4 linked regions of the Elephas maximus indicus genome follow. The protein of the gene in region 4 purifies or fractionates together with the protein of the main gene of each other region. This does not show direct contact. Links are inferred from orthologs where the notes say so. Each region holds a gene or a part of one and is shown on either strand. Other genes may lie near its edges.

Region 1 (7,761 bases), on a different chromosome or scaffold from region 4:
CTCAGGAATTAGGAATTTAAGAGGCTAATCTGAAAAGCTATTACAAATCTTCAAAACTTAAGATTCCTTGAGCAAAGGCCACTTTACCTTGGAGCTTTTCTTTGAGGTGGGAATCCAATGAAGCTTAAGTTTTTGTTGTTGAAATCTAAGGGAAGAGAAATAACGTGACATTGAAATAGTTACACAGTAAGGAAAATAAATACAAAAGTAAATAAAAGCTCCAATGGGAAAAAACAATTTTTCAAAATTCCTTTTGACATAAAATTTAAGATAACGGAAACTGCTAAGCAGGCAAGAAATATGCATACAAAAACGACCCCTTCTAAGAATCAAATTTCACATCAAAATTCTGCATAGTCAAGTTTTCTTTTCGTTTCTTTCCTCCTGAAAAGTAGCCAACAGACTCCATACTCTGACATAGTTCAATGCTATCATCTACATTGGTTATAGTAACAAGGATGATTCAAAGTGACTAAACACTGGATCATCTAGCTATGGGCTCAGAAAAAAAAATGCAGCAAAAGATGAAATAATTTTGGTCAAGGTAAACAGAAATGTTGAAAATAATCACCGCCTGAGAGCTCTGAGGTATTTTAAAGAATAAAGGTGGGGGAGAGGGGTGTGGAGAACAGGTCATGCTTAGCGGCGCCTTCTATTGTTTTCATTAACATCTAAAGGACACCACCACATCAAATTAGCCACTTAGTTGTTTGTTTCTGAAGACAAGACATATATTATGTAAGGTCAGTTGGTAACAATTCCATACAGGGAAAACATACATCCTGAGTGAAGGGGTTAATCAAAACCAGGCACAGGCAAAATTCATAACCAGTCTAATGGTAAGTCATCTGTTTTATGGCTCTTGGCACAAAACCCCTGGTCCACCAGGAAAACCACAAGCAGACCACTTACAGAAACTTCCTCCCTTAAGGAAGTCCCTTTCACTGTTTAATATTTGAGGGCAGAAGTCTGAGGAAAAAAGAGGTACACAATACGTCAGATGCTGACACTTCATTACCCATCGACTCACATCCTTAATTATGGAATTTGGAAACTCTAGCTACTACAGAAATGCAATAGAAATGAAAGGTGGAATGTCAACTAAACATCTAGGCTTTTCTCCTAATTATACAACTATCTCATTATATATTTTAGAAAAGGGGACTTGTAGTTCCAAAAGCTATCAACTGTTGTAGAATAAAATTGCGAATTTAAGGTCTGAACTGTTCAACTCACTTCCCAATGGTGCATTTGTGCTCAAAAACACTTTTGCTCTACCATGGGCTGAATTTCAAATTGGATATCCAAAATAGCCTCAGCATTTCATTTTTGTTCAATCAGGGAACTGAATATGCGATACCACTTCAGTAGTTAAATTGAAAGGATACATTTTCCTTTGTGCTCAAAAGGAAGGCACTAAAACGACAGTATTTTCTTCCAAACTGTCTCCCATGAAGATTTAATAAAAAGACAGAACACTCACCACTGCCTACTGGAAATAATTTAGGATACACAGCATCTGCTTTAGAAAAACATTGTAGCTAGAGAGCAACATAGCCAGAACTTGATCCAAAGTTTGGGCATTCCAACTTAACTTGCCATTTTTCCTACATAAAAGCTTGAGTGGTTTAGCAATATCTTTAACTTAAAACAGAAAAAAAAAAAAAAAAGAAACTCACATTTTCAACACCCGAAAGACAAAGGTACTTTATAAAACCAATTAGCTATTTGAAGTGTCCTTTGAGAAAACAATATAACTATAGGGACAGAGAAAAATACAAGGTAAAGAGTAGGAGCCAAGGATTCATTATGTTCTAAAATAAATATACAAGTGCATCTTGTATCTCTCTGGCCTTACCTTGTTTCTCAGAGAACTTGAAAGCTCCCAAATAACTGGAAATCCCTGGGCTTCTGAACATGGCTGCACACAGAAAGGTTCAGTAGCAGACCCAGCTCTACAGCTGATCCTCAACCAGCCACGGCCTCAGGCCTGTCTAAGCAAAGCTGGGCTGAGATTTTTCAGTGCAGGCAGGGCTGAGCTATCAGGCTCTGGTGTCCTTGAGAACACACTCAGCGCACAGCAGAAGACTGCAGGCTGCAACAGCTCAGACCCGTAATCAGATTACAAGCAGAAATTAGGCCTATGGATGCCGGAACGGACAGGGCTCCAGCAACTGGACCTTTATAATATTACTACCTCAAAGCCACAGATAAATCACAGCTTATGTTCCAGCTAAGTAGACAATGCTAAGTAACCATCCTCGGGGGAGTCAAACACAACTCCTCCTTTCCCTAAAAATAAACAGGCAAACAAACACAAACAAAGACTCTGGAGATATGGGGGAGAGGAGAAGCCAACTAACTGTTTCCAGGCTGCTCCACGCCTGGCTTTGGCTAATATCGTTAAGTGAAGTATTTTACCTAACAGGGAGCCAAAACCCATAATTAAGAGTTAAGATTTATGAACAACATATGAGCGAAATTGTGGGAAAAGAAAAGGCAGCTATCACTAGAAATTCAAACGCTTTAACTTGAGACAGAAGCTGTGAAGCATTATATACTAGACAGTGCCCTGTTAGCTTTTAACGGCAACGTGTACCTGGTGGGCCCACGCAGCGATACTGCATTGCCAAGAAAAATTTGCCATCATTACAGACTGACAGTTTTATAGGTAAAAGGGACATTAAAGAACCCACAGAAATCGTCTCATTTACAAGATAAGGGGAACAGAGAGCTAAAGAAATTACTTGCTTATGGGTAGACAAGTTGTTACTGATAGAACCATCTGTTCTTGTGGAGGTGGGTTCAAGATTGTGATTCGCCCTCTACCCCACCCAGAGACAGAGACCACGGTTTGGTCATCTTTGTATGTTTAGTACTGAACACTATGCCTGGTGCACAGCAGGCCCTCAGTAAATGTTTGCTGAATGACAATATGAAATCATGGAATGAACTTTTCTAAAAGCTAGAGATTGCATTCTTAAGTGACGTTATTAGTTTTAGATTATGCTTTCATACCTTTTTTTTTCATACCAGATCGACTTAAATTGATTTCCAAAATACAAACTTAGACTGAAAATGGAGAATTATATGCTAAATTAATTAAGGTAATAAACATACAGTAGGCCAACACGGGTTACTATGAGGGTCAGTGGTAGCATTTGGCTATTTTTCTATATGGCTGGAACCAGGGATATCATTGCTGATATCAGATGGACCCTGGTTGAAAGCAGAGAATACCAGAAGGATGTTTACCTGTGTTTTATTGACTATGCAAAGGCATTTGACTGTGTGGATCATAACAAATTATGGGTAACATTGCGAAGAACGGGAATTCCAGAACACTAAATTGTGCTCGTGCGGAACCTTTATATAGATCAAGAGGCAGGTTCGGGCAAGGGGATACTGCATGGTTTAAAGTCAGGAAAGGAGTGCGTTGGGGCTGTATCCTTTCACCATACCTATTCAATCTGTATGCTGAGCAAATAATCCAAGAAGGGGGACTATATGAAGAAGAACAGGGCATCAGGATTGGAAGAAGACTCATTAACAACCTGCATTATGCAGATGATACAACCTTGCTTGCTGAAAGTGAAGAGGACTTGAAGCACTTACTAACGAAGATCAAAGACCACAGCCTTCAGTATGGATTACACCTCAACATAAAGAAAACAAAAATCTTCACAAGTGGACCAATAACCAACATCATGATAAACGGAGAAAAGACTGAAGTTGTCAAGGATTTCATTTTACTTGGGTCCACGATCAAGACCCATGGAAGCAGCAGTCAAGAAATCAAAAGACGCATTGCACTGGGCAAATCTGCTGCAAAGGACCTCTTCAAAGTGTTGAAAAGCAAAGATGTCACCCTGAAGACTAAGGTGCACCTGACCCAAGCCATGATATTTTCAATCGAATTTTTTTTTTCAGATGCATGCGAAAGCTGGACAACGAATAAGGAAGACCGAAGAAGAATTGACACCTTTGAATTGTGGTGTTGGTGAAGGATATTGAATATACCGTGGACTGTCAAAAGAACAAATAAATCTGTCTTGGAACAAGTACAACCAGAATGTTCCCTAGAAGCGAGGATGGCAAGGCTATGTTGTACATAGTTTGGACATGTTTCAGGGGGGATCAGTCCCTGGAGAAGGACATCATGCTTGGTAAAGCACAGGGGCAGCGGGAAAGAGGAAGACCCTCAAAGAGATGGTTTGACACAGTGGCTGCAACAATGGGCTCAAGCATAACAATGATTGTGAGCATGGCACAGGACCGGGCAGCGTTTCATTCTGTGGTACACAGGGTCACCATGGGTCAGAATCGACTCGATGGCACCTAACAACAACAACTATATGGCTGATTAGTTGAACTCTTATAAGAAGGGAAGAAAAGATGGCAAATAGGGCAGTAAAAAAAAAAAAAAAAAAACTCAGCAAAAAACAATGTATCATGGATAACTGTAGTAGCAATTTTATTGTAGGATCATGGCTAAATGGGAACAAAAAGGGAGAAAAGGAGGTTGTTGGGAGACAGCCCTATAGCCTACACTGGCCTAATTGGTAAAGGCCTAACTATTGGGTACGCTCTGACACTGAGAGGGGTGCTTAGGCTAGCTACTGGATGCTTTTCCCAAACCTTATATGATTTCTGGCAACGCTGGTGGCATAGTGGTTAAGTGCTACAGCTGCTAACCAAAGGGTCGGCAGTTCGAATCCTCCAGGCACTCTTTGGAAACTCTTTGGGGCAGTTCTACTCTGTCCTATAGAGTTCTACTCTGTTCTATAGGGTCGCTATAAGGCGGAATCGACTCAACAGCACTGGGTTTGGTTTGTTTTTTTTAATATGATTTCTGGGTCTAATTATCCCAGGCATGAGTAGCTAAGACCTATCCAAAGATTTAAGGCAAGGACAGAAGTCAGTGTGCCAACTGGGAGGTGGATACAAGAAAGCAACTGATACTCTAAGGTTCTTCCTTCCGTTCCCAAGGCTCCCACCTCACTGGAGAAGGACAGGACATGGATATTACTATGCAACATTGTAGACTGTGTGAAACAATGGCTCAATGGCTCTACTTCTAGAAATGTACCCAAGGAAATTACTATGAGGGAGTACAAAAATGTTTATCACAGTTTTATTTATAAATGTATAAATCTGGAACTAATCTAAATAAGGGGATATAATAGTGGGATGCATAAAGAAATTACACAATAAAAGCAGGTTTTGAATTCAATTAGTGATTTGGATTTTTTTCATGTTATATTAGATACACAGACACCCCTAGTCAGAAAGAGTAAATGGGCCAAAATATTAATCTGTTCACAGCTCAGAGGTAACTCTGTTCACGTTTGCCATCTCTATTCTCTAAGTTTCCACAACATACATGAATTAGTTCTACAGTTACCAAAACAATTAAGTACAAATGAAGATGAAGGCAATTGGACCTCTTAAAATTCTCAAGGCTTAGGCTTGGGGACACATACTAAGAGAAACACTGCTGTGAATGGATTTGCATCCGCAGAGCTGTAGCACAATGTCAACCTGCCTGCTGCTTCCACACATGTGCATCTTCTTGGCTATAAATCAAGACGTTGACCCAGACAACCACTGATGTCCCTGATAATATCAAATACAGTCTTTCTCAAACTCAGCACCAGGTGGGCCATAATGCATGGAAGAGCCTGGACCACCTCACCTTGCTAACAACACTGAACTCACCTGTTAAAACGCTTTTATACATTTTCTTCCCTCTCAATATTTCTTTATTAACAATCAAACTTTTCCCGACAAAAAATCTCCACTGTCTCCTAGCTAAGGAGCCCTGGTGGTGCAGTGGTTAAACTCTTGGCTGCTGGCTGAAAGGTCGGTGGTTCGAACCCACAAGCTGCTTCATGGGGAGAAAAACGTGGAATCAGCTTCTGCAAAGATCACAGCCTTGGAAATCCTACGGGGGAGCTCTACTCTGTATGATAGGGTCTCTAGGAGTTGGAATTGACTTGATGGCAGGCAACAGGTTTGGTTTTGGTTTGGTTTCGTAGCTAAAGGATTATAAAAACTCGAAGGGCAAGACCTAAAACACACTCCCTGTGTGTATTCTGCAGACTGCCTTGCACAGTGCATTGATCAGAGCAAGTAAGCTACAAATATTGATGGATTCATTCAACTAATCAAGAGACCAGCAATGAAACCACTTCTATTCTTCCTCATTCTTAGATGAGTAGCCAACTCTATTTCCTAACTAGGTGGCATCAAGGAAAATTGTCACCACTCTTTCCTCACCTTGATACTCCTACTAAAGTAGTCTTATTGTTCCTAAAATGTGACGTGATGATGTGGAACATATATATTTGTGTGCAGGGAGAAGCAGGAAGAAGATATTAAGGATTTGCTGAGTAAAAACAGGGAAGATGAGTCCTGTAGTCCAAATGTGGACAATGTTGGTGGGAGTCCAGGTGAGAATGATTACCTCAACTGTCACGGTCAAAAGACAAGGCATTAGATCACAAAGGATCATGGTATTAAGCTCAGTTCACAGCTGTGGCTCCAGATGACATGGAGGCTGTATGGAGTAGTGATATCCTGTCAGTTGTTCTGTCTGACAACACTTCATCTGCCCCTGCAACACATGTGGCAGCTCTATTTTAGCAGTCAGCATGGTAAAGAAAATGGAAGTGAAGCAAATGAAAAGGCAAAAAGCTGAGTACCCCAATTGGCAACTAGCCATTGTCTATCACACCTGGTGTAAAGACGTAAAGAATACAGATAAGCCCCGCCTACCTGTCCCAGTGTTCACCAGGTGGCAGCATGATACCAAATGCTCTAAACTCATTTCCAGTTGCCCTCGAGTTGACTCCAACTCAAGGCGACCTCTTATGTGCCAGAGTACAGCCGTACTCCACAGGGCTCTCAATGACTGATTTTTCAGAAGTAGATCACCAGGCCTTTCTTCCGAGGCACTCATGAGTAGATTTGAACCACCATCCTTTCCATTAGCAGCCAAGTGCATTAACTGAGTGCACCACCCAGGGGCTCCACTGAGGGCATTAAGCTCATCTGACCCTCTCAAAAGCCTGAGAGGGAGCCTATAACCATTCCTATTTGCAGACGAGGAAACTGAGATACAGAGTGATGGAGAATAAATACTGAAGCCTAGATGGACTAGTTAAAATGTATATTTAAAGGCCCTTGGTACCGGTGTGTGCCAGCAAAACAACCATTCACTGGTCAGCACAAACATCACCAAAGAGGTCGCTATGAAGGTGAGGTCAGGACTAAATGAGAGGATGGACATGGAAGCGCTCTGGAAAAAGGAGCACATTACTTAAGCCACACACTGAGCTGCATATTGAAAGGAGATACAGGTGTAGCACACACTCTGCAGAGGCGTGGGTAACGTCACCCTGTGCCCCTGTTAGAGCTGAGCAGCCGGTGAAGCACTCCCAGTCTACCGGAAATGAGCTGACGTTGAAATGGGCAATACATGGCAGAGTGAAATTATGACCAGCAACAGTTTGAAAGCATCCAGTCTGTGAGTTACTGATACATTTCTAAAACCAAAAAAAAAAAAAAAAAATTACCACAGAAATGACTTTAATGAAATCAACTACAGATTGCCAGAGTGAAATTCCGAAGTGACGGATATATTTTTATAGCCTAGGAAAGGAGTATTTTATATGCAAGAAACAGCCATAAATGGTATTCTCATTTTCTTGGATGGATTTTATTTATGTACGCAGATCCTTAATCTGGGGCAAAACTGCA
Region 2 (7,116 bases), on a different chromosome or scaffold from region 4:
TGGCAACTGAGGTTTTTTGTTTTGTTTTGTTTTTAACTCATTTTGGACTCCAAACATTCACAGCAGCCCATTCACTGTGGGGGCAGGGGCGGGTGTGAATAGGAAATTTCTAATTTATGCCACCCTATTTTTATGGGGCAGTTCTACCGGGTTGCCAGGAGTCAGAATCAACTTGACAGCAATGGGTTTTTTAAATGTAAAGTTTCTAAACTATGGTCTGTCTACTTCAATCTTTTCACTTCGAAGATCAAGGCTGTTGGGAAGACACAAAGCGCTCAGAAGAAATTGCAAGAACACTTAAGATAGTTCTGACAGCACAATATTTTTACTACTTTAGCTTTTCCTATCTTTTTTGTCTTTGTTACCTATATGACCTTTATTTGTACAATTGCTTTGTTTCTAACTCAGTTCCTTAGCCTCTCTTCCTAGCAAAATGGAGCCCTGGTGGCGCAGTGTTAAGGGCTCAGCTGCTAACCAAAAGGTTGGCAGTTTGAATCCACCAGCAGCTCCTTGTAAACCCTATGGGGCAGCTCTATTCTGTCCTATAGGGTCGCTAAAGATTTTACTGTTATATTTTTTCTCTGAATAGTAAGAGAATTCTGTATGTATGCCCAGGGAAAGGGATGATGTGCGGACATGGGAAAGGGATGATGTGCAGACATGGTAGACTATAGAATGAAAAGGCTTTGGTACTCATTGGTCTAACTTAGGGTTTATCAACCTTGCCACTATTGGCATTTTGGGGCAGACAATTCTTTTCTTTGTTGTGGTGGACTCTTGTGCATTGTAGGATGTTTATTAGCATCTCTGTCTTCTCCCACTAGACGCCAGTAACCCCCTTCCTCCTCTTCTGCCAGTTGTGACAACTGAAAATGTCTCCAGACACTGACAAATCTCTCCTAGGGGACAAAATCACACACAGAACCACTGGTTTGACTATATAATTTCCCACAAACTTACTATAATCCTTAACACAGCAGTTAAATGCTTAAGTATTTTTAAAATTCCTAATGTTCTGTCAAATAGCATCTTTCTTTTGCGTCTTAGTCATCTAGTGCTGCCATAACAGAAATATCACAAGTGGATTGTTTTAACAAAGAGAAATTTATTCTCCCACAGTCTAGTAGGTTAAAAGGTCAAATTCAGGGTGTCAGCTCCAGGGGATGGCTTTCTCTCTCTGTCGGCTGTGGAGAAAGGTCCTTGTCCTCAATCTTCCCCTGGTTGAGGAGCTCCTCAGGCACAGGGACCCCAGGTCCAAAGGACACACTCTGCTCCTGGTGCTGCGTTCTTGGTGGTATGAGGTCCCCCACTCTCTGCTTGCTTCCCTTTCCTTTTTATCTCTTGAGAGATAAAAGGTGGTGCAGGCCACACCCCAGGGAAACTCCCTTTACATTGGAACAGGGATGTGGCCTGGGTAAGGGTAGTGTTACAATCCCACTCTAATCCTCTTAACATAAAACTACAACCACAAAATGGAGGACAACCACGCACTACTGGGAATCATGGCCTAACCAAGTTGATACACACATTTTTGGGGGGGACATAATTCAATCTATGACATTTTGCATTGTACTGCAATCTCTGAAAATCTATGTCTTAACTGAAAGGTAGTTAGCTATTTTTGTTGTTAGTTGCTGTCAAGTTAGCTCTGACTTGTGACAACCCTATGGATAACATTATGTTGCCTGGTACTTTGCCGTCTTCATGATCACTGGCATGTTCGAGTCCACTGCTGCAGCCCTTGTGTAGTGCCTTCTAACCAAGGGGTGCTCATCTTCCAGATCTATGTCAGACAATATTCTGTTGTGATCCATAGGGTTTTTGTTGCTAATTTTCAAAAGTAGGTCACCAGGTCTTTCTTCCTAGTCTATCTTAGTCTGAAAGCTCTGCTGAAACCAGTCCACCATGAATGAATGACCCTGCTGGTATTTAAAATACTGATGGCATAGCTTCCAGCACTGTAACAACATGCAAGTCACCACAGTATGACAAACCGACATAGACAGGTGGTGGAGTTAGGTATCAAAGAAGTGGAATAGTAGACTGATATTTGGGTGGGGTACCACACTGTTATTACAGTCCTGTGTGTAGTAGCTGTGGAGCAGTATGTTTGAAAAGTGAATGAAACAACAACAGCTGTGAAGAGTGGTGGCTGATAGCTTCTGATTTCTGACATCTATAAGACACACAAGACCTATTAGGATCCCTGGTGGTGCAGTGGTTAAGTGCTTGGCTACTAACTGACAGGTCAGTGGTTCAAACCCACCAGTCACTCTTCAGGAGAAAGATGTGGCAGTCTGCTTCCGTAAAGATTACTGCCTTGGAAACCCGACAGTTCTACTCTGTCCGATAGGGCTGCTATGAGTCAGAATTGACTAGATGGCAATGGGTTTAACAGGTATAAGACACAAGGTCCAGTAGTTAGAATGCTCTAAGTTCTCCAGAACCCTTCCAATATCTTAAGGATGTATAAATTTTGCTCTGCAAAATAAAACAAGAATAGACCTACACTTGATTTATATATGTTTGAATTTTTACAGAGTGGACTTTCATGTAATTGGCAAGACTGTATCAAGAAAAAGACCTTCGTTATTCTTGGTTTCTAGGAACTTTTAGTGCTACTGGATCAGAGGAAAAGGTATTTGCTCAACTATTTATAAGGTAAGGAACCCTCCCTGGTGTCCCAGTGGTTAAGCGCTCCGCTGCTAACCAAAAGGTCAGTTACTGGAACCCACCAGCCGCTCTGCAAGAGGAAGGCGTGGCAGTCTGCTTCGGTGAAGATTACAGCCTTGGAAACCCTATAGAACAGCTCTACTCTATCCTGTAGGGTCACTATAAATCAGAATCGACTGGATGGCAATGAATTTACTGGTATTTATAAAACTTATTATTATTTGGACTTTAGCAGACATCGTTTGAAATAAGTACCAAACCAAACCAAACCCAGTGCCCTTCCAGTCAATTCCGTCTCCTAAGTAAGCACCGATAAATGGAATGACACTCATATTCACAAAAATACAGTCGTATTTTATGCTGGTATTTAATTAAAATGTTTATCTAGAAAACCCCAGTTAGAAAGGCAAAATGCCCTAGATTCTCCCAGTATGAATGATTCTTCTTCTAAGTCATATATTTGCATAAAAATTTTACCCTGTTTTAGGCATTTGGACATCTGACTCAACGGAGTATGAGGTTTATCTTTCAACATTACCAGAGTTTTTAATGTTTTAAGCTTCCTGTTTAATAATGACAATAAATTACTCCTAAAGACATCTTTGCATTCACAGTGAACAAAAAGACCATCAGAAACTGATTTCCAAGAACTCCAACGAACTAGTCATAGCAAAAAATATAGAGAAAAATTCTCAATGTTTCCCGTTACCTCACAAAAGGAAATGGCAATTATTTTCTTTAACACATTAACGTCAATATTTAAGTTCATAATGGCTGGAGAAAATAATGTCCAACGTCACTGTCACTCTGTTCAGATGTACAGAGAGTCAGCAATGGAATTTCGATCTTTTCTATTTTAGGGTGGCAACTTCCAATTTGTTGGACAGGAGTCCCAGTGCTATTTTCCACGGCTGGCAGCTCTCCGGGGGGGGGGGGGGGGCGCGGATCGCCAAAAGGCGAGACTCCCTCTGGGGCCAAGGTTGCCCCAGTTAGTCCAGGTACCAAGGGCCGAAATCGCATGTCGTGGAGTGCTGACTGCCGGTCCGGGTTCTTGTCCCACGCAAGGTGCGGCCTCCCTGTGAGCCCACTACAGTGACCTCAGACCCGGCACATCCAATCCTCCCTCAGGTCATCCTCTGCAGTGGTGGGAAGAGAATTAATCAATCCCACGTCCTTCCCTGTGGCACGCTTCTTGTTTCTGGTCGCCCCCGGGAACGGCAGTCTCCTGGGAGCCGGCCGGTGCGCGCCCTTCCCGGAGGGCGGGAGCGGGAACCCGGGGCGTCCAGTGCCCGCGGCGGCGCCCACAGACCCGGGGACTAGGCCGGGCGGGGCCGAGTTGCGGGTCCGAGCGCCGGAGGGGCTGGCGGAGCATGTGACCGCGCCGCGCCCGGCTGGGTGCGCACTGCCGCGCGGTGGCGACGGCGGGGAGAGCAATGGAGGCCGCGGCCGCCTGAGAGGCGAGTGCGCTGCTGCTAGTGCTGCTGCTACTGCGGCTGCTGGTGCTGCTGCTGCTGCGGCGGCTTCCGCGGGCTGTGCAGCCGCGTCCGCCGCCGGCCCGGGACCGCCCGTCGCCGCCCAGCCGCCCCGGGCACCTCAGGTGAGCGCCTTCTCGGCCCGGGGCCAGGACCAGACAATGGGGACAGCGGGTGGGCTTCTCCTCTCCACTCGCGACCCGCCGAGCCGGGCCCCCTCGGCACCCCGGGATTCCCGACCTTGCGCTGGGGGCGTGGGCTCGGCACGGCCGGCGGTGGACTCTCGGGGCGGCGTACCCGCGCGGGGGGCGCGGACCTGCGCGCCGGGTGCGCGGCTTTGGATCCCAGGCAAGGGGACCTGCCGTCGGGCTGCGCCCGGGGAACTTGCTGAGAGCGTGGGATCTTGTAATTCCCTCTCTCCTTCCCGCGCCTCGGCATCCTGTCCCGGGCGTCCCCCGCGCGACTCCCGGCTGCGGCGGGAGGCAGACGGAGACCTCGCCGTCTGGGACCTCGGACGCTGACCAGGCTCAACCCTGTCTTCCCCCAGAGCTGCATTGCTTTGTTTAACCTCTGCCAAGCCGTTTCGCACCAACTCTCGTTGCCCCAATTCTAATGAGCCACCAGTTTGATGGCTGAAGCAAGACAAAGGTTTTCCCTGTTTACTAAGAACTGGAGCCCGGAGACTGCACGTTGCCAGTGGTGTAAAATGTGTTTTCCTTATCATCTCGCAGGGGTTGTTGCGATGGTTTTCCTGGTGCTATAACCGTCCTTTCTTGCAGAGCTCTGTAGCGGCGAGATTGGACCTCCTAACCCTACAAATACGGTGGGTGAGGCATGGCTTTTATTCTTGGTTATCAGTAAACAGAAGGGCAGACCTTTGAATTTTATAATAGATGTTCTTACAATGGAGGCATCCTAATTATTTTCTGAATTCTGGATTTTAAGACAGAACATTAGTTACAAACCCATTGATGGGGGCCTGGGGGAAAAAGGAAACCTAGTAGGAAACCACCATGTGTTGTGAAATTTTAATATGGTTTTTGAATAATGGCTCAGAAACTGATCTGGTGTAGGTGAGGGAGTGTGTGTGTGTGTGTGTGTGTGTGTTGGTGGTGGAGAGGGAGTGGTTAGGATACAAAGGATAAGACAATTTTAATAAAAGGATCTTAGTAAATATCCTGTAGCAAATTTTCAATTCATTAAGTTGTCAGTTAAATCAATGTTCGCCTGTAAAAAGCGCTTATAGCAGCTGTTGAATTATATATAAAATAGCTAACATTTATTTGGCATTGTGACTCAGGAATCTGAATATAGGCAGTCCCCAGATTTACAAAGGAGTTCTGCTCCTAAATCTGTCTTTAAGTCTAATTCCTATGTAAGTCAGAACAGTTAGGGAGGGTTTGTATCTAAGGTCAGTTAGTCAGTTGTTTGTCTTAGTATACAGTGTACCTTTCTATGTATAAAAACATTAAAGGAACACTTCCAGATACAATAAAACATCTTTAACATAATACAGTAATAATAACAATAGTATTTTGATGCACATTGAAAAGTAGCACCCATTTGTTATTATGAACCATTGTATGTACCTCGAATTTTTAATAGGCTTTACAGGGATTGGTTCGTAATAGAGGTTGTACATAAACCGGATGTTTGTCACCTGGGGACTGCCTGCACAATTGTCAATATTGAGTATTTTTAACAAGTCAACAAAGCGAAGATACCTTGGCTACTATCTCTTTTATTTTATGAGAAAACTGAATCCTAGTTCAGTATATTTAACAGAAAATTGCCTGTAAGAAAAAAAATTCAAAGGTAGGTGTTTTAAAGAAACGTTTTGAAAAAATGCATCTTATACAGGTGATATGGTTGCATCCGAGAGTACTTCAACTCGTAAATGTAAAGGGAAGAAGTTGTGCTACTGGATTGCCTCTTTCTACTGATTATTTAAAATGTATTTTCTTCAAAAGCTCATTTTTACAGTCATCTAACATTAAGAAACTTTCATTCTAAAGTCTTAGCAGTACTTACTTATAGAGCGCTGGTTTTGGACTCAGGAAGATAATGCTTATTTGACATTCTTAGGTGATTGGTGTGAGAATCAAAAGCTATTGCATAGTTCTTTATAAATATCTTATCAGGAGGGATCACCAGTCCCTGGCGAAGGACATCATGCTTGGTCAAGTAGAGGGTCAGCAAAAAAAGAGGAAGACCATCAACAAGATGGATGGACACAGTGGCTGCAACAATGGGCTTAAGCATAACAACAATTGTGAGCATTGCACAGGACCGGGCAGTGTTTTGTTCTGTTGTACATAGGGTCGCTATGAGTCGGAACCGACTCGACAGCACCTAATAACAACAACATGATAAATATGTTATTGTTACTGCTGAATAAGGCAGCAGGGGTTTACAGTTTTCTCTTACACAATATTGGAAAAATTTATCTTTGAAATGAATATGAAATTCTCCAGGGTAAAGGACTTTTTTTTTTTCTAGTCCACATTTCTAATCTGGCACATAGTAGGTGCTCAATAAATAGTTGTGTTAAAAAAAATAAATTAATGAAAAATAAAAAATAGATGAATAAAACATGCATACATATGGAATTGATTTACACTTTTTTTTTTTAGTTTAATAAACATTTATTGTAGGCCTGTGTGCCAAGAATTGTGCAGTGTTTCCACATGCCGTATTTTTACAAAAATAATGCGTGCCCTTTGCGTTCGTTTGCCAACCTCACACTTCCCCAGTGAGGCACCCTTAACAAGCGCCGCCATGCCAATCCTCTTCCCGTGTTGCTATAAAATAAAAATTAGCATAGCGTGCTTAGGAAAATACCATGCCGGGAAGGGCAGGGCTGGTAAGCAGACGCAGAAGGTGGACATTATTTGTGTAAAAATACAGTATAGTTTATGAAAGCTTGGTGACCTTTTTTTTTAATTGTGTTTGGTGTCTTTCTATGAAGAGT
Region 3 (7,449 bases), on a different chromosome or scaffold from region 4:
CCCAGAAGAGCCTCAGAAGAAAGGCCTGGAAATCTCCTTCCAAAAGGTCACAACCACTGAAAACCTTACAGAGCACAGTTCTGCTCTGCACACGTGGGGGGCCATTAGTAGGAATTGACTTGATAGCAACTAACAACAGCAGCAGCAGCAGTATGTCCTCAAACACCTCTGCAGGGCCTTGCACGGGCTGCGCCTGCTCTCTGGAACACCCCTCTCGCTCACACACACACAGGCCCACCATGGGAGAAAGATGTGGTTGTCTGCTTCCATAAAGATTACACCCTTGGAAACTCTATGGGGCAGTTCTACTCTGTCTTATAGGGTTGCTGTGAGTCGGAATCAACTTGATGGCAATGGGTTGGCTTCCTTGGATCTGCCTTAGGGGCCATCCCACAGGGAAGGGCAAGACGAGAGAGAAGAGAAAGCAAGGTTCTTGGTAGGCACTTCTCTTTACCAGAGTAGTGCCTCTGTTGTCTGTAATCTGTTTAATATCCTGTGCTTCCTCGCCAGTTTTAATTTTAAATGCCTGGCAAATGCCTGATATGTCAATATGGTTTGATGAATGGTGCGGTGAATTAATTAATACATCAATGAACGAAGGTAAAAGAGTTTCTAAGCTATGATAGTGGATGGCTAAATAATATTTTCAAGTCCTTCCCAAACCCAGAAGCCCTCGATTCTCCGATTTTTACTTAACCTGTTGTAAAAGGCAACCAATTTAAATATAGGCTTTAAACCTCACTTTAAATGGATCACATATGCTATGCTTGATTTAAGAGACGTGGGTCTCTTCCAAAACATTTCAGAAGCCCAGGCACACAGAGGCCAGCTGCTTGCTATTCCTGGGGTAGCCTCATTCACTCTTTCTAAATTAGCTGAGCACTATGTCTGAAGCCATGGGCCCTAGGTGGCACAAATGGTTTGCAGTTGGTTGGTAACCGAACAGTTGGTGGTTCAAACCCACCCAGCAGTGCTATGAAAGAAAGGCCTGGCAATCTGCTCCCATAAAGATTACAGACAAGAAACTGCTATGGAACAGTTCTGCTCTGTAACACACGGGGTCACCACAGATTGGAACCAAACCGATGGCACTGACGGCACAACAACATGGCCAAAGCAAGGTAAACAAGAGCTCCCTGGGACTGGCTGAAGAAAGAAGGGAAACTGATCTGAGCAATCTCTAATTGTATTATTTTTTAACATTTATTACGGAGGTCAGCAATGGGCAGCAGACAGGAAGCAAGGTGTCCACCTGGAAGGCCAGGAAGCCGTAGCGGACATCAGTAAAGAACGAGACTACATCAGTCTGACCTCAAGCAGTGACAGTAGCAATGGGTCTTTCTCTGCTGCTGCTGAACCCGCCAAGTCCTCAAGCTCGATCTCCCTAAATTGATTTGTAAACTTTGAAATTCCCATTTCCTGCAATTTCATGCAGAGAAAACCATTTTCCTGGGAAGGGAGTCGCCAAGAGCAACAGTTACTGAAATCAGACAGGAGACATTTGAAAGTATTCACCTGTCCATCCTTCCAATGCTCCTTCCACAAACACGGATTGCCTACCTGTCAAATGCCAGGTTGGGTGCTGGGTGCTGAGGGCAACAGCCACGGAGCTCACAGTCTCCTAGGAAATCCGAGAGGCCCACAGAGGTAGAAGGCAAGGGAAGCACTTCCATTCAAAACCTAGCAGTCTGGCAGCTTTTCTCCCAGACTGGGAGGCTTTGATTCATTCGAACAGCTGCTGACGATCTTTCATAATTACAGCCTTAGATCCGATCTGGGCGCTCGGCAACCATTCACTCAGTCATCTCCGGGTACCATACCCTGGGAATGCCACCATCTGGTGATGGGTGTGGGCCTATCCTGACACCTTCCAGCACCTTCTGGAATGTGACCTCAGCCCTTAAATCTGCAAATCTATCCCGTGGGGTGCACTGTGTGAAGGGGCAAGAGTGGACAGGCAAAACCCATGTGCTTGTCCTTCTACAAGAGCAGGGCTGCAGTACACGCGTATGGTCTGTCCGCCCAGCGGCCACAGATGGGTCTAAACAGAAGCACATCTATGAAAAGTAGGCCTACGGCAATTAGTTTTAAATTGCTGAATGATCTCTCACAGCTGGCAGTAGAAACCGTGAAGGCCAAATTAAACTGCTCACTGGCGCTTCCCCTTCAAGTGGAGCCCAAGGCATATGCCATACCTGCCATCCTTTAGATATGACTCTGCTGCCCCGCCACCCTGCCACTCATGGGAAGTGCCCCACCGAAATGTCAAATGCTGTTGGAGTGCATCCTCTCTGTCCCCATGGCAGTGGTCCTAGGTCATTTCTTCATTTCTTCATTCATTCCAATACACAATTATTGAGTACCTACTATATACTACTATGTGCTTTGTATTCTATCTATCTACTATGGCTCTGAGCCAGGCTCTGGAGTCCCACTTTCTGTATTCTGAGACACAACTAAATCTTCTACATCCTTCATGATTCCTTATAAACAGCTGGTGCTCAAAAAGGTTTGCTGAGAGACTAAATGAAATTCCTTTGCCGGCAGGAGAAGTGGTGAGAGCCAAGTTTCTTCCTGAGTTTTAATACTTCTGTTAAGAATTGCCTTAATTAGCATAGTCTTGATTTCAGCACAGCACAAACCGTTTGCACCCGACTGCTAACCAAACGGATGGTGGTTTAAACCCATTCAGCAGCACGGCAGAAGAAAGGTCTGGCGATCTGCTTCTGTAAAGATTTTAAAAAAGAACCCATTGCCGTCCAGTTGATTTCAACACATAGCAACCCTGCAGGAGAGGGTGGGACTGCCCCATAGGGTTTCCAAGGCTGTAAATCTCTACAGAAGTAGACTGACACATGTTTATCCCTCAGAGCGGCTAATGGGTTTGAACCGGCAACCTTTCAGTTAGCAGCCGAGTGCTTAACCACTGCACCACCGGGGCTTCTCCTGTCAAGATTACAGCCACTGAAAACCCTATGGAGCACAGTTCTACTCTGTAACACATGGGGTCGCCATGAGGCAGAATCGATTCAACCGCAAAGGCTTTTTTTTTTTTTTTTTTGGTTTTTAATTTCAGGTAAACGGCCTCCTCATTCAAGCTCAGCACACCTCTGACATTTCAGACTTCTAGAATCCACAGGGACAGCTGGAGGTGGCTTTTCCCCAAGGAAAAAGAGGTGGGTAGGTCACATTCACACCCACAAATGGGTCCTATGGTTAAGAGATTTGGGGGAACACTGGGTTCAACAGGTGCTTTTTAAACAAGATTTTTGCATTTTAGAAATGCCAAAGCAAAATCCAGATTGCTTCGGCCCAATGCCCTTTTCCCAGGTGCAACCACCCATTTGGAAGAGGAAGGTGACAACATTATCTTTTTGCCAAGATCTCTTTAAACATCCGCCTTTTCAGTTTTCATTGGTGTGCCCCTTCCTACTGTTTATGCTGTTTTTGAACTGGCTGGAGCACTCACTAAGAAAATCAAGCTGCTTTTTTGTTACTGTTTTTTTCTAGATCAGGGATTGGCAAACTGTGGCCCACAGGCCAAATCTGGCCCATTTCCTATTTTTGTAAATGAAGTTTTATTGAAACACAGCCTCACTCATTTATTTGTGCACTGTCTGTGGCTGCTTTCAAGGTACTACAACAGGGTTGAGCATTTGTGACAGTGACCATACGACCCATAAAGCCTAAAATACTTATTTATAATAAAAAGCCTAAAGTATTTATAATAAAAATTAGTTTTTCTCTGGCAGATAATTACAGAAAAGTTTGCCGACCCTGGTGCTAAGTTGTGGAGAACTCAGTTGCCTAAGAGACTAGACTTCCTCAAGGACGTGACAGCCCCCTTTTTATCTAAAATCAGTTGTCGTAGAGTTGATTCTGACTCACAGCAATTCCATGTATGTCAGAGTAGAACTGTGCTCCATAGTGTTTTCAATGGCTGATTTTTCTGAAGTAGATTGCCAGGCCTTTCTTCTGAGGTACCTTGGTGGACTCGAACCACCAACCTTCTGGTTAGCAGCCAACTGTGTTAACCATTTACACTACCCAGGGACTCCTATGCATCCAAAGCCCTTACAGTATTCTGGCTGAGACCCACCCCTTCACTGCTGTTGTTGTGTGCCATCAAGTCACTTCCGACTCACAACGAAACTATAGGACAGAGTAGAACTGACCCCTAGGGTTTCCTACGCTGTAATATTTGCAGCAGATTTTCAGGTCTCTTCTGCAGAGGAAACCCTGGTGGCGTAGTGGTTAAGTGCTACGGCTGCTAACCAAACGGTCAGCAGTTCGAATCCACCAGGCACTCCTTGGAAATTCTATGGGGGCAGTTCTACTCTGTCCTATAGGATCGCTATGAGTTGGAATTGACTCAACGGCACTGGGTTTGGTTTTGGTTTTTGGTCTCCTGCAGATAGGATGGTGGGTTCGAACTGCCAACGTTTAGGTTGGCATCCAAGTGCTTAACCATTGAGCCACCAGGACTCCACCCCTTCACTAAACAACAACAACAAAAAACCCTTTGCTTTCATGTTGATTCTGCTCATAGCGACTCTGTAGCTTCACTAGGCCTCTTCAATTGCCCTACATGGTAAGTACAAAAAAATTTTAAAATACAGAAATACATATGAACAAAAGTTTTTTTAATAACCCTAAATCCCACCATCCAGAGCCAACAACCACTATTACCATTCTGATATATGTCAACCGGGACATCTGCCAATGTAAATGGGAACTTTCTGCCAAAACTAAAATAGAATTAGACCATATACTCTTTTTATTTTATTTTTAAATATATATCATGAACATCCTTCATGTCAATAGCTATACAACAGACTCTAATGCTTATATAGGACTCTACACTGACTCTTCGCTAACTGACTATCTTGTTATCTGACATTTTGCATTTCCAATAGTAAAAAATCTACTATCTATTTTGTGCATCAACAATGTATGTCTGGCAGTAACGAACACCAAGGTATGAAGCAAGAGTAATGCTGGGTATGAGGGTTAAGGTTATGTGTCGGCTTGGCTGGGCCATGATTCTCAGTGGCTTGGCAGTTATGTAATGATGAAATTTGGCAGTTATGTAATGATATAGTCATCCTCCATTTTCATATAACGTTGGTTTCCACTTAACAACCTGGTCTTTTGAACCTAACTAAAACTGTCAATAAGTGAAGAAAAAAAAAAATTAAGCGAGGAGTGGGTATATTAGAGACAATTGCATAGGAAGGTGGCCTGTTGGCGCAACTGTTAAGCACTCAGCTGCTAACCAAAGGGTTGTCAGTTCGAACCCCCCCAGCAGCTCCACAGGAGAAAGTCCTGGGAGATCTACTCCCGTAAAGATTATAGCCTAGAAAACCCTATGCGGCAGTTCTACTCTGTCACATGGGGTCACTATGAGTTGGAATTGACCCAATGGCACCTAACAACGACATCAATTACACAAATCACCTACCCTCTAGTACAGGATCAGGGCCCTGATGATGCAGTAGTTAAGAGCTACGGCTGCTAAACAAAAGGTGAAAAAAAAAAGTAGGCAGCTCAAATCCACCAGCCGCTCCTTGGAAACCCTCTGGGGCAGTTCTACTTTGTCCCATAGGGTCATTATGAGTCGGAATCAAATGGATGGCAACGAATTTGGGTTTTTTTTGTTTGTTTGTTTTAGTACTGGATCTTTAAATTGTTCTGAATTATTCACCATTATAACCAACACTGCAGTGAACATCCACATGTAATTATTTTCTCAAGATAAACATTGCCTAGAAGTGAGCTCGCTGGTTCAAGGGTGTACAACTTTTTAAAAAGTTTTTGTTATATCCCGAATGGACCTTTGCACCTAAAGGAAGCACGTCCCATGCTGACTCAACTCAAAGCTTCGGAGGCCAGAGTTCTCAACCTCTCCCCTGGGGCAGACCCAATAAAGGTGTCTCGTGAGCAATAAACCAGGACACTTGGCTGGCCTTGTCTTCCCTTGAAACTTTACTGGCCCTGGTTTATGGCATGATCATAATAAACTTGACCACAAGGCTTCCAAGGCCAATTAGAGTAGCTCACAGAAAGAGTAAGTTTGGGGCCAGCCCAGAGTCCCTGGACAGGTCTGGCGTTGGAAGAGCGAGCCAGAAGGAAGACCAGCCAGGAACTGATGTTCACTGCAGGTGGAACTCAACCCCTAAACTCAATTCAACACACAGTCTGTAAGCACCTGCTGTATGCCAGGTACAATGCTTGGCTCAGTAACAGGTGAATACAACATGCTCTCCCTTTAGGGAGTCTAAAAAGGGCATATTGCATTCCAGAAAGAAATAATTCCCTTCAAGTGCAAATGAATTTCTGAAGGAATTAGCTTCTGTTGGCCCAAGAACTGCCTTATGTGCAGAGCTCAAAGCCTGTCTCATCACATCACTCCCCACCTCTAAAACCATCAATGGCTCCCATTGCCCATTGCCTTGGACAAGGTATCCAAGTCCTCTCTCCCCCAAAACCTAATCCTGGTCTACACGGTAGGCCCTGAACACACACCCAATTTCCCAAATGGGTCCCAGGATTTTAGTGTGTTTTTCATCCTGTTTCTTCTTTGTGGGTAGCCCTTTGCCCACACCACAATTTCCATATGCCCAAATCCCACCCATCCTTATAAAAAAAAAAAAACTTACCATCATATAGATTCTGACTCATGGAGACCCCATATGTGTCAAAGTAGGACCCTGCTCCTTACGGTCTCCAATGGCTAATTTTTCAGAAGTAGATCACCAGACCTTTCTTCTATAGTACCTCTGGGTGGACTTGAACCTTCAACCTTTCGGTTAGCAGTCAAGCGCTTAAACGTTTGCCACACCCAGGAACATACCTATCCTTTTAGGACAGCTTAAATGTCACCTTCTCCAGGAAGCATATGCTGATTTTCCAGCCCAAAGTGACGTCCAACCTTCCTCAGCAATTTACCCGATCATAACACCGTGTATGAGATATGAGCCCAAGTGTCTTCCCATTGCAAGATTTACAGCCCTGCCCCCATCCTATCCAAGGCATAAACCCCTCCTCTCTGAGTTTCCCTTCACAGAACCTACTCACACCTGGCACAGACAAGGCAGATTGGGATAGTGCTGGATTCCTCTGATGTGGGAGGCAGCCCATGTGGGACACAGGATGGTGTTAGGTAACCGTGAGGATGCCTTGATATCCAGGCTCAGCCTTGAATGACATTGGGTGCAGCTGTTTTCTTTCTCATTCTCATGGGAGTCTTCTGTTGACGTCCCAAGACAGTCTTGGCTTGGTGCTTCTTTGCCTTTAACACCTACATCTCCATTACCTGCTCACCTCCAAATTTAAGAGAGAGAAAACAGTCTCAAGCTTAGACCACTAGTCACAACAGTAGCAGCAGTAATAGATTTTAAAAATATTCATTGTATTTAATCTTACTGTTATTTTCTATTTAAGGCAAGT
Region 4 (7,483 bases):
CTACTCTAATTCTCCTTTGCCATGTAACCTAACATATTCACAGGTTCCTGGAATTAGGACATAGACATCTTTGGGAGATCACTATTCTGCTTACAATCGTGAAAGGAAGGAACTGTTTTGACTCCAGAATAACACCAATTGGATTCAGCCCACATCCACTCTCCTAGGGAGAAAAACTGATGGCCAAGATCAAGCCTCTGTAAGAAAATGAGAATAAAAAGTAGAATGTTTTAGAAGACATTTTTTTCCCCCATTCACCTAGTTTCCACTTCCCCTGCTTTTGGCAACACACCTCAACTCAGTTTCCCTTTGGAGAAATACCTGTCCCGCATTCTCAATCTGTGGGGTTTGACTTGAGATAGGCATGGGGCCTAGATCTGGCCAATCACTGTAATTCATTTCTTTGGCCACTGTGAGTGGTTCAAGGGTACATATGACCCAAACTGACCCAGTTAGAGTCAGTTTGGGAGATTTGAGGGAAGTGTTAAGAAAGTGAAGGCCTCTTTTACTAGGGTTGTGGTCTTAAAAAGCTATTCCTGCCTGTGAGTGAAGCCAGTTCAAAAGAAAATACATTTAAATGATGGAGAGAAAACAAGTCCTACAATTAAGCTTGATCCCCAGAATCTAGCCATGCCTGCAATTCCTCTTTGTGAAATTTTTAGTTATGCCACCCAACACATTTTCTCTTCATTCCTTCCTTCCTTTCCTTCCTCCTTCCTCCCTTCCCTCTCACCTTCCCTCCCTCCCTTTTTCCCTTCCTCCTTCCTTCCTTCCATCTTTCCTTCCTTCTTTTCTTTCCTTTGTTTTTGTTTTGGCAATGCAAATTTCTGTCACTTACAACCTAAAAACCTTGACTTAAAAAATTATGACAGAATATAATACAAATGAGAATGGAGGGTACTTTCACCACTTCAGGAAGATGGCTGCTATAATATATTGCAAAATGGAATGACATAGGTGCTTGTCTTACATACAGAAACAGACCCTGCGATGAAGAAAATTTTCCCGGGAGAAACCAGAATAAGGGAACAGACAAACATAAAAGGGTATGGGAAAAAGACAAATAAAGTTGAGATTGGCCTACTTCCTCAGGGGAAATCTGGAATATAAATTATACCTCAGAGGTATCCTGATTTGAGGCTAGGGAACTAGCTTTCCTACTTTAGCACCTGATAGTCATTGCTTAAGAACTGCCCCAGGGGACCTAAGCTCCCAGCTCTGGGTTTAGCAAAGCAGCCCCAGTAACAAGAGAGCAATTCTCCAAAGATTAACTGCAGGTACTGTTAAGTGGGGGCCAAAAGGCTGTGAAGCACAGAAACAGTAAAAGAGATCTGAGGGGATCTGCTACAGCTTGTCCATGAGAAAGAGCTTACAGAAGAAGACTGGAGAAAAAACGAGTGCCCCACCACAGAGCCTGGGACAGTGGCTGGGGATGGTCCAGCACCTACCTGTGATGGATGCAGTTAATGTCACAAGAAGGAGAGGATGTGGTGACATGAGCACTGAGTCATACGTCCTGGGAGGGAGCGCCAGGGGAGATGTCAGAGCTGTAACACTGGGAGAGGTCTGATGAGATAGGAAGTGGCAGAGGTGATATAAGTCGATGTCAGAGGAAGGAGGAAGGCGGCAGAGTAAGCATTTCTGAATGTACATGAATGACTGTGGCACCCCCAAAGACCCAAGAGTAAGGAATTGGGGCAGGTATTCCTGCAATTCTTTGATTAGACCTGAGTTGGAGAAATAATTATTGTAGGTTGGTAGGGCTTGGGGAAACACAGAGGACACACTTCTTGTTCTGCTACATTATAATTACTGAGTGCAAATGAGAGTGACAAGCACTATCAGATATTAAAGGTAAAAAATAAAAGACATCAGATCTGTCTTCTCACTTATTGCCAGCAAATTTGTCCCTTGTGCTGCTTTACCTTTCCAGGTCAAGAGCCTGAATTAAGTTTTCATTCATGCTTCCATAAAGGGAGATTTTTTAAAAAGTCAGACATTAGTCTAAAATTCTCTATCCATGTTGTTTAAAAGACTATTCAAAGAGATTATACTCATTAGTTCATTCCATAAATATTTTTTAATTAGGTACAATATTGCTGTTGCTGTATGCCACTGAGTCAATTCTGACTCATAGCGACCCTACATGACAGAGTAGAGCTGCCCCATAGGGTTTCCTAGGCTGAAATCTTTACAGAGGCAGATCACCAGGTCTTCGTTCCCACAGAGTGGCTGGTAGGTTCAAACCGGCTACCTTTTGGTTAGCAGCCAAAAGCTTGACAATTTAGCCACCAGGGCTCCTTGGTACCACATAAAACCCAAAACTAAACCCGTTGCTGTCGATTCTGACTCATAGCAGCCCTGTAAGACAGAGTAGAGCTGCCCCATAGGGCTTCCAAGGCTGTAATCTTTATAGGACATGGAAACTCTGGTGGCATAGTGGTTAAGTGCTACAGCTGCTAACCAAAGGGTCGGCAGTTCGAATCCGCCAGGCGCGCCTTGGAAACCCTATGGGGCAGTTCTACTCCGTCCTATAGGGTTGCTATGAGTCGGAATCGACTCGAGGGCACTGGGTTTGGTTTTTTTTTTTGAATCTTTATAGGCAGCCGTGGTGACGCAGTGGTTAAGAGCTCAGCCACTCCTTGGAAATCAGTTAATGGTACCACAGGAGGCGGATAAAAAAGAGAAAAAAAGAAATAGTCATGGATTGAAGATGATCCCACATATGTGGGATTAATAAAACCGTGATTCTGTGAAATTAGGTAGACTCTGACCTTGGCAAACTTAAAATCTCATGAAGGATGCAGAGCACATCCACAAGAAAACAGGTAAGAAGTGCGCATGGGACTTCAAAACAAGCATTATAGAAGAAAAAACTTGAAAGAAAGAGGGAGACAGAGAGAGAGAAAGAAAGAAAGAAAAGATCAGGTTCTGGTGCAGTTAACCGTAAAGGCCAAAGTCACACCACTAATAAGTAGAAGGTAGGTGAGTTTGGAAATTAAATAAGAAAAGGGTAGCAAGTTCTCACTTAGTAAGTAAATCGTATGTGAGAGAAATACTTTGTTCTTTTTCTCTTTATCATTAAACAACTGATTATCCAGAATACCAGTATATCTCTCCCTGCAGTCACATAATGGTCATCCCGTATTTAGACCAGTTTTACACGACTGCTTAAAATCTTCCCCAATTCCTAGGTTATGTGAATTTTATTCCTTTTAACTGTATCAAGAGGGTGATATTGGGAAGTTACTGAAAGGATTATCAGGAATTAGACAAAACTGCTGGTTGTGTCATCATGGGAAGCCACATGTAAACTATCACCAAGGTTACGACTGTAAACATGCTCGGACAAACTGTTGCAAACCATTACCAGATTTGGATGAGGTTTCCAGAGGAAGAGGACAACCAGCTAAACAAGCAACAAATCAAGCAACATTTACTGAGTACTTGTTTGTACAGATTATTGCTAGGAGGTGTTGCTAAATAAAACTAGAAAGAAAAGAAACCCCAGAAGTACTGTTGATGTGGCAGGTGGTGGTGAACAGAACTGATGGGAGAGGTGAGTAATCACCTCACCAAGTTCCGTTTGGGGGAGAGTGCTCAGACCTTAGGGAGAGAAAGAAAGATCTTACAGTGGAAAGAACGTGGGATATGGAATAAAATACCTGGGTTCCAATCCCAGCTTTGTCACTTAGGAGCTGTGCAACTTGGATACATTAGTTTTTTCTTCGAAAAACAGTTCTAACAATATTGATGAACACCTTACTTCGATTCTGACTCATAGCTACCGGGGTAAAAAAAAAAAAAGGGGGGGGCAGGAGGGCCATATTTAGCAAATAAAAAGAAAAGACGTCCAGTAAAATTTGAATTTCAGAAAATAATTTTTATAAGTATGTTTTAAGTGCTTCAAAGGATATACTGAAAATATTTATTCTTTATCTGAAATTCAAAGTTTACTGGAAGTCCCGTATTTAATCTGGCAATCCTGTTGAGGAGCATAGGGTCCATGTCGTCCGTAACTTTATACAGTGCATCCCCCAACTGCTCAATTTGTTTAATGACCAATGTATATACCCAGAGACTAACCCAGTGCCTGGCACACAATGAAGGCCCAATAAAGGGCAATCTTCCAATTATGGATTGGGTTGTGTGCGCGTATTACAATTAACGCTGCATGTTTTTTCTAATGCTTAGGGGAAAAAACCGAATGCTTAAAAGCGTCCATTCGTGCAGTTTTTCACACTTTAGCTGGTAGAGTTCAGCACTTGATAGGAAAATATTCAAGGGCTCGGAACGTACTCGTTGCAAGATGGACCCATAGGGTTACCGGTGGAGAGAGAATCTTATGCCCACGACGCTGACCAGCCTGCGGCAGGCGGCGGTAGGCGCTGACTCCTTCCCCCCTCCCCGGGCAGGCTTCCGGGATTTCCGCGCAGGCGCACAAAGCGCTCCGGCCCGGCGGGCCAGGCTGAGGGAGGCGGAGCTCCCGGGGCGCGTGCGCGGCGGCACGGACGCCCTTCCCTCAGCGGGGGCGCGCGGCGCGAAGGACTCACGGAAAGGGGGAAGTCAGGTGGCCGCTGCCGCCGCCGCCGCCGCCGCCGCCGCGATTTGTCGCCAGAAGAAAGATGGCGGATCTGGAGGAGCAGTTGTCTGATGAGGAGAAGGTAAGAGCCGTGGGGGCGGCGGAGCCTGTCCGTCGGAAGCCAGCACAGCCCCGGCGTTATCAGTCCAGTGTCTGGCCGCCCAGGAGGGGCATTGGCCGTCGCCTGTGCCCTGGGCTGCCCTTCCTTCCCCCTTTCCTCGCTGCGCCCTAGTGCCTGCCTCTGTCAGTCACCGGAGGCCCCGTGCGGGCGGCAGGATCCAGCCAGGCCTGCTTGCTCCGCTCCTTGTAGGGTGTGTGCTTCTAAAATAGGAAGCCGGAGCCGGCGGCTGCGACACCCGGCGCGGCGGGCGGGCGGGCGGGGGCGGGAGGAGGGCGGCGCCGCGGGACCTCGTCTTCGCCGGGGACCTTCTCCTGCCGCAGGGACCCTCTCTCTCCGCCGGGGCCCTGCGGGCGAGGGTGAGGGCCGTGCGCCCAGGTCTGGTGACTGCCAAGGGGTCTGTGTCCAGGCCTGGGAGCGGCTGACGGGCAGTGCCCAGCCGAGGGGCTGGCCTGAGAGTGAAGCCGGGATGAGAAGGAAGGGGAAAAAATCGCCTAGAAAGCAGATCTTCTACTTCTCGCTTCTCCTCCCCCCTTCCAGAAGCAAAATGCTTCCTTTTCTAGTTCTCTATGATTTTTTCTTTTCCCCGGTGGAGGTCTTTCCTTTCTTTTTTTGGTTTTAGCTGTAGGCTTTGCACCTCCCCTGTTCCTGAGAGGCTGCAGAGTTGCTCACATAATGACTTCGACACCCCCCCCCCCATAGTCGTTTCCTGCCCAGGTTGGCAGCAGCCCCCCAGGGAGCCGATTTGGTGGCGTCCCATCTTTCTACTAGGACTTCTGCCGAAGGGAGAGTGGATTGTGCAGCTCCTTTTACTGTATCTTAGATGCTGTGACAACGGTGGAACCAGATGAACAACTAAATTCTTAAACATTTAAAATAAGAAATCTGATCATTGAACTAGTTCTCTCTTACTCGTCGTTCCTTTGGCTACTGTGAGGCCTCATTCCTCAGTGGGAGGGTGGGGGACACTAATTTTGAGTATTCCCGGGAAAGGACCTTGACGTTTCTCAAACTCAGAAGTAACTGACGTAACATGTGAGTAACATGAATAAGGTGATTATAGTGTTCAGAAAGCCCACTTTTAATTTAACAGTGCCTCGTTTTTTAAGTTCCAATGCAGTACCGTGTAATAAAGATAAGTAGTTACATTATGGTGTTTAAAAAATCCTAACGTCAACCTAGGGATATTTTCAGTTGGAAACTCTGTGCTCCAAGTGTTTTTATATCCTTTTTTTTTTGTGTTGTACTGAAATGTAATGCTTTATCTCCCTACCCATTTGAATGAGCAGAAGCCAACCTCATCTTCATTTTTGGAAATCTTTTTTTTCTCTGTGCTCTTTGGTAGAAGCGATAGTAAAACAACAAAATGGGAAGAACTACAAGATTCTTTATAATCCACAGACGGGGTAGTTGCTGTGCAGTATTCTCGTGTGTTTTTGGTAAATAATCGTGAGCTGGTAACTGAAAGTGTATATGCATGCACACACACATTTAAAATTAAGTCATGTTAAAACGTTTTTAGAGAGATTGTCATGTTTTTATTTTACTGGGCTTAACTGGTGGTGATTAGTATCTGAAGTGGCTAGAAATCTAGCTGAGGAGAGAGTAACGCTGCAGGAGTTAATATAGGCCTGCCATGTGTTGTAAAGGCCTAAAATAGCAAAGTTATTTTTTTTTAATGAGATAAGATTCTTTATTACTTCGGGGCACTAAGCTCCATAGAGGGTGGGGTCTTATTCTCTAATCTTGCCTAGCACAATGTTTTATGACTAAATGAATGAAAATTTTAATTTAAAGGAATTTGGTGTTTTAGTTTTGGGTTTTTTTTTTTTTGTAATTTTTTATTTTAGTTTTGTAAGAATATTCTTTTGGTATTCTGTATATAGATTTCTAATTTGAGAAAAACACTGACTAAACTTATTTACTAATTTGAGAAAAACAGCAAACTTTTGGGTTAAATTTAAATAACTAGTTAAGTAAAATTTTAAACTGTCACGTCATGTTATCTGAATGTTCTTTTAATCTTTTTGGAAGAGGATGTTGGTATAGGATCAGAAATGGAGAGAATTTAAAGGTGGTATTTTTTAACTAATAGCTAAATCATGTTACTCTTCTGCCACCTTGTTTGCAGTTTTCAAAAATATACTTTTAAACTTTGGGATTTTTCATATTGATTGCAGATCTAAGGAAGGGAGGTTGTTAAGATTTATATAGAAATGTACTATATGCCGGGCTCGGTTAGACGGTACGTACATCTCTTAATTTGTTGTAAGTTTGAGGTGGGTAGTTTTATTGTTGCCATTTCACAGATAAGTCAAGTCAGGTTTCAAAAGCTTTACCTCACCCAAGGACACATAGGTAGGAAGTGGCAAAGGTGGTATTTGTACCTGAGTTTGGGTTCATGCTTTTGTGGCTTTACTCCACCTCAGACAGGTGATGATAGAAACCTCTTCTGGGTTTGTCTCTTGTTTTAAATTTGTTGACAGCTTATTTTGAAAAAGGAGAAACAATGGCTGTTTTTGTTTTTAGTAAAAATTGTAAATGCCAAACATTAAATAGTGTTGGGTTCTAAACTTAATTTGCACTTTGATCATTTTAGAACAAAGTTTATTATTGTTTAACACTTTTAAAAGTTCTGTGTGACTGGAAATTCAAAAGACAGAAAATTTATTTCTGCCTAGACATCAGTAGGGGTTCAAGCTCGTGCCAGAGAACACAACATAGGAAGAAAAACAGGAAAGTGGGAATGAGCAGGGAGTGTGAGTTATGTATACAATGAATTC

What was found.
Region 1: the proteins of CAPZA2 (region 4) and SVIL purify together in Homo sapiens (affinity purification with mass spectrometry; 3 studies listed by BioGRID and IntAct, counting the BioPlex papers as one, with this or other methods). This does not show direct contact. The link is inferred for Elephas maximus indicus from reciprocal best matches to the Homo sapiens genes CAPZA2 and SVIL.
Region 2: the proteins of CAPZA2 (region 4) and CRACD purify together in Homo sapiens (affinity purification with mass spectrometry; 3 studies listed by BioGRID and IntAct, counting the BioPlex papers as one, with this or other methods). This does not show direct contact. The link is inferred for Elephas maximus indicus from reciprocal best matches to the Homo sapiens genes CAPZA2 and CRACD.
Region 3: the proteins of CAPZA2 (region 4) and KIAA1671 purify together in Homo sapiens (affinity purification with mass spectrometry; 3 studies listed by BioGRID and IntAct, counting the BioPlex papers as one, with this or other methods). This does not show direct contact. The link is inferred for Elephas maximus indicus from reciprocal best matches to the Homo sapiens genes CAPZA2 and KIAA1671.

The regions. Positions count from the first base shown.
Region 1 is NC_064822.1:24,550,365-24,558,125, forward strand, and holds the start of SVIL (supervillin), read right to left. Parts: upstream 3,010-7,761; 5' UTR 1,920-3,009; coding exon 1,859-1,919; intron 146-1,858; coding exon 88-145; intron 1-87.
Region 2 is NC_064823.1:105,074,054-105,081,169, reverse strand, and holds the start of CRACD (capping protein-inhibiting regulator of actin dynamics), read left to right. Parts: upstream 1-4,103; 5' UTR 4,104-4,270; intron 4,271-7,116. UniProt on the Homo sapiens protein: Involved in epithelial cell integrity by acting on the maintenance of the actin cytoskeleton. Positively regulates the actin polymerization, by inhibiting the interaction of actin-capping proteins with actin.
Region 3 is NC_064840.1:31,707,390-31,714,838, forward strand, and holds the start of KIAA1671 (uncharacterized protein KIAA1671 homolog), read right to left. Parts: upstream 3,009-7,449; 5' UTR 1-3,008.
Region 4 is NC_064826.1:32,826,440-32,833,922, reverse strand, and holds the start of CAPZA2 (F-actin-capping protein subunit alpha-2), read left to right. Parts: upstream 1-4,482; 5' UTR 4,483-4,625; coding exon 4,626-4,664; intron 4,665-4,830; exon of another isoform or gene 4,831-5,152; intron 5,153-7,483. UniProt on the Homo sapiens protein: F-actin-capping proteins bind in a Ca(2+)-independent manner to the fast growing ends of actin filaments (barbed end) thereby blocking the exchange of subunits at these ends.